Oryzias latipes: one gene and its partner. The protein of the gene in region 1 interacts with the protein of each later gene in a biochemical or structural test. Links are inferred from orthologs where the notes say so. Each region holds a gene or a part of one and is shown on either strand. Other genes may lie near its edges.

Region 1 (3,820 bases):
TGCTGGTAGAAGTGTGGGAAGCGAGGGGACTTGAGGGGCCCGGTTTCCAGGCCTGAGCCTAGGGAGTGAGGGTGTGACTGAGGGACCATGGATGTCTCCTCCCAAAGGAAAGATGTGCTGGGCTGTGGAGGCAGAGATGGGGTGGTGGGGGTGGAAGGAGGGGATTGTTTAAAGTACATGGAAGAGGAGGACATGACTTCCAGTGGTGGAGCAGTTGGATAGCTCTCCTCCTCCTTTTTGATGATGGGCCTGTGTGGGGGCATCTGGTAAAGGCAGGAAGATTTGGGCTCATAACTCCCCTCCACAAAGACATTGAAGCTGGGCAGTGAAGTGGTGGCAGCGGCTGAGATCTCGCTTCCACTCAAGTCCAACTTGGTGTAGTCAGGGGTCATAAGGTCAGAACCGTAGCTGTCACCCTGGTAACTGAAGGACTGGCCAGTGTACGCTGAGCCTGGAGGGGCGGGCCCATACTGAGCCTGCACACAGGGCATGTCTGCCGGGGAGACAGAACACGGGGAGAGGTTAGGTCTGCATGGCAAGAGGAGCCACGGGCTTCATGACTTTTCAGATTGTTAGTACAGGAGTAGCTTACAGGAACATTCATTAGCAGACAATTAATCTTACATTCAGTTTTGTTACATTCATATTAAAAATGAGGCAGGGCTTCTGGGGGACAGATGTTGCTACTGTAAATCTACAGGGAAAAGGCAGACTATATTAGATGCATGCACACATTGGAAGTGCTATAAAGGGCCAGCAATCAACAATGACTAATTTCTGCTCAGCTCTATTGGAACAGGCGGTTTTTCAGCTCTTAAAGTGATGATTTTTTTAAATGATAAAGACAATGTCCAATAAATGTGAAAAAATCTTCCTATAGACTGATATTTTGCTTGAGCATTTCTCGCACTTGCTTTGGGTAAGAATAGCAGCACTATAGGGAGTGCACACACTAACACACACAAGCAGGATCTCAAACATTGCTGATTCACTCACAGTTAGTTTGGTGAGAGAAGATGCAGCTGATGAGAGAAGGAACAAATCCACTGCAAATGTGTGTGCGTGTGTGTGCACGAGCGTGTGGGTGAAGGCGCTCTGGTTAGTCAGATGGCAAAGCAGATGTGAAATAATAATGAAAACCCGTGGCGGTGTTGGATGCTATACTGTACAAAAGCAAGAAAAAAAGGCGGATATGGACGCAGATATATTCAGTGTCTTGAGTTTAATCTCTGATTTAATTATAACTCATGTCATAGGAGAAGGCACCACCTCTTTGAACTGCGCGCGCAGAGCAGCCTTTACGGTCCGATAATACCAAGCCTCTTATGTAATTCTCAACACCTGCGTTAGTGCGCTTCTGAGTGCACGCGTGTGTGCGCAGGCGGCCAGGAGCGCCGGAGCGGCCGTGGGCTTTTGTGATGTTTGCTCGGCGCTCCTGCGCAGAGAAAAGTCAACACGCGGCTGCGTCCATTGACGCTCTGCATGCGCGCGTAACGCCATAACCTCCACGCGTAATGTTTGTCTAGTCAAATGCTGGACCTGTCGTTCCTGCTTTTAGCGACATCACACATACCTCCACCCAAGCAGGACTCCCCATCCACCCCTCCCGTGCAGGAACGCTCAAGGAAATAGCCCTTCAGTTGTATTATTCGACGCTTCAATAAGTTGAGCAAAAATAAAAGTTCTGCAACATGATGAAATCTGCAATTTTTCCTCAAAAAACAACTGGGAATTTAGGAAAGTTTAAATGCCTATTTTAACTTTAAAAGATATAAATGTCCTTCATGTGCAACTTAAAAGTCGAATTTATGAGGCTGCGAAAAAAAATGGTACCTGGCAAGATATATATATATATATATATATATATATATATATATATATATATATATATATATATATATATATATATATATATATACATACATAACTTCTTCTTGTTATATTTACATTAATTAAAATAAATTATACTTAATTTAAGATTGTGATTAAAAAAAGACTTATAGTGATGAATCTATCAAGAAGTCGTGCGTAAAACCGCGCTTTTCCTGCATTCTTTTCAGAAATGCACGTCTGTCTTCACTCAATGACACACAATAGGCGGCCTAGGTCAACAGGAGCAGCCATTCACGAGTCTGCTTTACGACTCAATGACAATACTAGACAGACAGTTTTTTTGTAATTAAGGATATGAGTCAAGCTTTCGGCCTACGTCTGCTTGACGTCATCGCGTTTTTTCTACCCCTCTGCTTCTTCCAGGAGTGACCATCTCTTTAACCCATGTGTTAAAATACACATGTAACCTGAGGGCGTCAGAGGGACCTTTTAAAAAGAACAAAACTAAACTGACTTGACTATATAGAGAAAGAGGTAAAATAGGCAAGAGGGCAGTGATGAACTATGTGGCTGAATGCAGTGCTGTGTCAGTAGGTCAAACCCTAGATCAGTGGGCATTAGTGTGACTGTGTTTTCCCACACACTGCACCTGCCACATTCTAACAGCTCACAGCCTCCAGCTGGTGAAGCAGGGCTGAACATGATTTTTTTTTTGTGCAGACGTTTAAGAATAGATGAAAATCTTTTGTGGTTTGTCCGATTATTGGAGCTTACAACATGACTGAATGATTTTAACTGTGTTAATGTGTAACTTTTTTGTGATTGTTGTGGTAATATTTGTTGCCCCTCAAGGACCTAGTGTCAAGTCTTACCATCTTAAGCTTCTGTCAGCCCTTACTCAGCACACTCAGTTACCATCACACATTACCTTAAACAGAAACGCACATGTAGTTCAAGGTTTGCCAATGCATATCACCAAAAGAAGTAAAACCCTCTTGACTCCAACACCACCATCGGATTGCCCTTTTCACTCTTGCATGCATGTGTGAGTGTGTGCCAGGTAGTGGACAGATAACCCAAGCAGAGTCAGACAAAAGTGAGCAGCATGAGGCGAAGGGAAACAGTTTCTAACCTCGAGGTGTGCATTTCAACTGGACAAACTGCAGCTGTTCCAATAACTGAGCGCGCTTGTTCATTGTCAGAATGCCATAGATCTAACAGATGAAAACATGAAGGTGCAGGTTTGAATACAGCAGCCGTGTCACACAAGATGACTTCAAATCAGCTGGCCTCACACACAATGTAAAAAAACACACATACACAAATGCAGTTATACACAATGAGAGATTTTTATGTTTTTGGATGTTTCATTTAGTACACAACACAACAATGATTGAAAAACATGTTTATGGATATGCAGAAAAACAAAGACAAACAGATCATGATTTATCTGTTTTTTTGTGTCTCTTTCCTTATTTAGTGGCTTTATCAACCTTTGGCTGCAGCTTTTGCCAGCAAAGATGCCCTCCCCTCCAAACACACTCACACTCAAAGGAAAATAAATGAAGAAACGTTCACTTTCCTTTTATTGTTTCTGAATTTTTAGTGAAGGAAAGAATTAGCTAATTTGTGCTGGTTTGCAGTTCTATAGAACGCAACATTTATGACTTTCCAGGTCTGTTTTAAGCAGCAAAGAAAATAAAAGAAAAGAAAGAAAGAAAAGAAGGAAAAAAGCAAGCAAGAAAGAAAAAGAAATGAAAGTGAAAACCATCTCAGTGGTTTGCTTTACCTGGTGAAAGTGCCTCGCGCTGAATGGTGCTGGGTGTCCGGGGTTTAGGGGTGACGTGGCTGCGGCCGGGACGTTGAACCTGGAGCGCAAAGGGCTCGGCGGGATTCGCAGAGGAAGGATCCGATCGCTCCGAGCTCGGCTTGGCGCGCTCTTCCGAACCTGAGTATCAAAGCGGGATGTCTCGGTTAAAGATTGAGT
Region 2 (4,503 bases), on another chromosome or scaffold:
GCACAGTGGACAGGTTTGATCCCCTACGCTGCCCCACCCCCCACATAAGCACGCGCCACCAGCCTTAAAGGTAAGGCGCAAACCATACTCCTGACCTTGCTAATATTATCACGCACACCACCAGATATGGACACTTTCACAAAACACGTGCGCGCACTTAGAAGCTGGAGTACTCCCGTGCGTAAAAATGCGTAAAAGTGCTCAAACATCCCACTGGGGACAAATGATAAACAGGTATTTTGCCATGCATGCGCGTAAAGCTGGTCTACTCACTCACTGTCTGTCCAAAGTGAGGGGCTGAGGTCAACATTTCCAGAGAATGTCCAAATCGGAGAAAGTTTTGAATTCCTGAATGAATTTGTAGAAAGGCGCTTAGGATCATTATGTCAGCTTTATGGAGGACGGATTAAGCGGAGTCTAGATGCTACGCCTTGTACACGGTTCTCTCACAATGTGATCACTGTTCGTTTTATAGTGAACCCACACTATTTTAACACCTTGCAAACCCTGTCTAAACATGAAACAGTTTCAGCCATAAACATGAAAATCACACCGCTTTGGCTGCCGCTCTATAAGCCAAATCCTGTGACTGGATGCATGGGGACATTGATGTTGTCCTTATAGCCTCAGATCAAATGCAAGAAACTGCTTTTATGTGCCTAGTATCTTTTATGTTGCCATTCGATTGTAATACTAATACCAGGCTAATTGTTTAAATTGGGAGCCGGGACTGTTTAAAAAGGCTTGAGACATTGCTTTGTATTCTTTCATAACATTACCTTTCTTATTCTTTTTAGTTTTTATTTAAAAAAATTTTTTTGAGAAAAAGCAGCGAGCAGAGGATGCACCCAAAGACCCAAAAGCAGGGCCGCTAACAACAGGAGGGGGAGCGGCGTCACCCAGCAAACACCCGAACCAGCACCCACCCAAAAGCCCACTCATTCCAGCTGAGAGTATAGAGAAAAACGCATACAAATTTTCTCCCTTCAAGTTAATCTAGATATTTTTTTAAAGGAAAAAAAACTATGCAATAGTTCAATATCTTAAAGACATAAATTGGAAGTTGGCTAAACCCCTTTCGTTTTGCTCAAAAATGAATTATCTGATAAAATAAATTTTTTTAAAAGTCTTCGCTATAGGGAAATCTGCATGGAAATAATGTGCAGATTGACTTGCTTCCATTCAAAATTCCCGAGTTGTAGTCATTGGTTGTCCATTTGTCCCCCATTTAAAGCTCCCTCTCCCTCACTCCCTCCCCGTCTCTACTAAGCATCTCCAGTCTACATATCTTCTTTAGCTTTAACGAGCCTCGTTAAGATCGCAATAATATTCCACCCTCTAATTGCTCATTCCATTCAGCAGATAGGCGAGCATTGGCTTGTGCCTGATGCGCGCGGTGCGGTGGGAGGGTTGCTGTGGAGATCCTAGACTCTGATAACCCCCCGTGCGTGCTGCACAAGTGGTGAAAGCCTCGCGCTACGTACTGGCTAATGATTGGCACGCTTGACAGTGATTGGCAGGGCTGCCATGACAACGCTACAACGACACCAAGAAGACCAATAGAAAAGGGAAACAAAATGTTTCAATGCTACACTCAACGGCGGATTTAGGGGGGAGATATTATGAGGCTGGTGTCATTAGGCGATAGCCATTGAATCATTGAATCTTTTTTACTTACCGTATTTTTCGGTTTTTCTTTTTCTCGATAATTTTCTTTCTCTCTCAGGTCATTTCCATGGTTTTCAGATCGCCTTTAGAGCTTTATCCCTCCCATTTCTTCCTGCCTAACTTCGCTGATCGCCCTCTGCTCCTGGCGAACAGCGCTCCCACCACCAGGTCTCCAGAAGACTTGTCCATGTTTCAGCTACCGACCCTCAACTTCTCCCCGGAGCAGGTGGCAAGCGTCTGCGAGACGCTGGAGGAGACCGGGGACATCGAACGACTGGGCCGTTTCCTCTGGTCCCTGCCTGTGGCTCCGGGAGCATGCGAGGCGATCAACAAACACGAGTCCATCCTGCGCGCCCGCGCCGTGGTAGCTTTCCACACGGGGAATTTCAGAGACCTCTATCACATCCTGGAAAACCACAAGTTCACCAAGGACTCGCACGGCAAACTGCAGGCCATGTGGCTGGAAGCTCACTATCAGGAGGCCGAGAAACTTCGCGGTCGTCCGCTCGGACCGGTCGATAAGTACCGGGTGCGGAAGAAGTTTCCGCTGCCTCGGACCATCTGGGACGGGGAGCAGAAGACGCACTGTTTTAAGGAGCGGACACGGAGTCTGCTGAGGGAGTGGTACCTTCAGGACCCGTATCCAAACCCCAGCAAGAAAAGGGAACTGGCTCAAGCCACAGGACTCACTCCCACACAAGTCGGGAACTGGTTTAAAAACCGGAGGCAACGAGACAGAGCGGCAGCAGCCAAAAACAGGTCGGTGTTTTTACGCGCGGGAAGTAAAACACAAGAGCTCACTTTTCTGGGGGACAACCAGAAAAATATATATTTCAATATGCTGCAAGGTTTTCAAAAGCTTATCCTAGAAAATACTGACTGTCAGTCAGGCGGAAGCAGCAGCTGCGCCGACATTGTTGACATGAAGCCAAATCCGGATAAAAGCTGCACTTTTACGGCGGTTTTAAATTCACACTTTTTCCTAAATTTTAATGTACGTTTTGGCTTTTTTTTCTAATGTAAAAATTAAATGAATAGTCTTTAAAACTCCTTTATTTTAGGAGCCTAAAATATAAAGTCAAAATAACTTATGCCTATTAGATCATGTTGAAAAACATGAATGAAAACACAAACTAGAAAAAACAAACTTTTAAAAACTAAAAATTAAATTTTATTGTGTTTTTTTTTCAACCAGAAAAGTCCTTAATCAAAACAGGTAAAATTATTCAAAGTTATGAGAAAAGAGAAATCTTAACTTTAATTAATTTATCATGAATAATGTCATTAAAATATCAATATAATAAGCTAAAAATATCCTTTGGATTATTTTTAAAAATTGCAGTTGATTAAGAGAAGTAAATAAAAGGTGAAAATATTTTTGCAAAAATATTTGAATTTTTTACAGTCTCTAAAACAAAATCTGTTGCTTGGTTTTTCCACCTAAAACTATTTTGTTTGTTTTTTTAAGTATAAAATACAATTATTTTTTATGAACTATGGTGCCTTTGTTATATTCATGTAAAACATAGAGTGACTGAGCAGCCAAACGCACAATACTAATAAAAAGAATATTGATTTTATACTTTTCTAAAGAGAACAGGCGTCTAAGTCGGGCTGCGTTGTTGATATTGTAGTTGTATCATTCCGCTGAAATGCTGTAACTGATTGGAAAATACCCCAGAGAGCACTAAGCCATATGAACACTATTCTAATCTTTTTGATAAATGAATAGATCTATTTCGGCACTGACATTATCCCGTCGTGATGGAGTTATTATCGTGAGTGGACAAGAGATAAACATTCAGGATGATTGGAGTAACCACTCCAGTCATGCACTTCCATCTGAATCAGCTGCCAAAGCTTCTAGGCGGTTGCGTAATTTTGCAAAAAAATAAATAAAATAATAATAATTTTGATTTTAAAGTTTTTAGGTGTCAACTGAAAACAACTGAAGGGTTAGAAAATAGATCCAAGGACAAGGACAGAAAGTGTGGACAAAACTAAGTTGGGTTTTCTATTTTCCTCTGACACCAAACATCTCATTTATCCCGAAGTGTTGTGCGATCACAAGACGTGCTTTAACAACAACAACAACAGCAGAACTCCATTACATTTGCTCCAACATTTGCTGGTCTAAACAGCGCGGCGTTGTGTCCCCTGAAAGCTGGCTGCTTGATAAATAAAAGCATGCATGCATGGCTGGGGCCGGCAGGGGAAAAGAAAGGCGAGTTTGAACCCCTATTTTGCACTATGAGGAGGAGGAGGAGGAAGGGAGCGGGGGTGCACATTCTCAGGTCTAATTGCTATTTCTCTCGCCTTTTTCTCCTCCTTTTCTCCCCCTCCACCTCGCTTCTTTTCCTTAGGCTTCAGCACCAAGCAATAGGACCGAGCGGTATGAGGTCCCTCTCAGAGGCCGGGCTCACCCCTCACAGCTCGGCGGAGTCGCCTTCCACCGCGGCCAGTCCCACCACCAGCGTTTCCAGTATGACAGAGAGAGTTGATACTGGGACGTCCATCCTGTCCGTCACATCCAGCGATTCAGAGTGCGATGTATGATACGCAAGGGGGAAAAACACACACACACAAGAACAAACAAAAAGAGAATTATTTACAGGAAAAATGGACCTGAGAGGAAGAAAAAAAGACTTATGAAATATGGTGGATGAAAAAAGGACCGATTGATATAAATATTAAAATAAAAGAGATAAAAGCACGTCGGTTTTTTAAAGCGCTTCAAAGGACCCCTCCTCTTCATACCCCAACACTAATAGACTACTTGCATGATGTTTTTTTCTCTTTTTCATTTTGTAATCAGGGAAAATGCAAGATTTTCCA

What was found.
Region 2: the proteins of nr4a3 (region 1) and six3 form a complex in vitro, tested with the Homo sapiens proteins (3 studies listed by BioGRID). The link is inferred for Oryzias latipes from reciprocal best matches to the Homo sapiens genes NR4A3 and SIX3.

The regions. Positions count from the first base shown.
Region 1 is NC_019874.2:17,605,693-17,609,512, reverse strand, and holds part of nr4a3 (nuclear receptor subfamily 4 group A member 3), read right to left. Parts: intron 3,782-3,820; 5' UTR 3,623-3,781; intron 3,048-3,622; 5' UTR 3,030-3,047; coding exon 2,966-3,029; intron 494-2,965; coding exon 1-493. UniProt on the Homo sapiens protein: Transcriptional activator that binds to regulatory elements in promoter regions in a cell- and response element (target)-specific manner.
Region 2 is NC_019873.2:16,155,170-16,159,672, reverse strand, and holds the start of six3 (homeobox protein SIX3), read left to right. Parts: upstream 1-1,612; 5' UTR 1,613-1,735; coding exon 1,736-2,427; intron 2,428-4,031; coding exon 4,032-4,224; 3' UTR 4,225-4,503. UniProt on the Homo sapiens protein: Transcriptional regulator which can act as both a transcriptional repressor and activator by binding a ATTA homeodomain core recognition sequence on these target genes.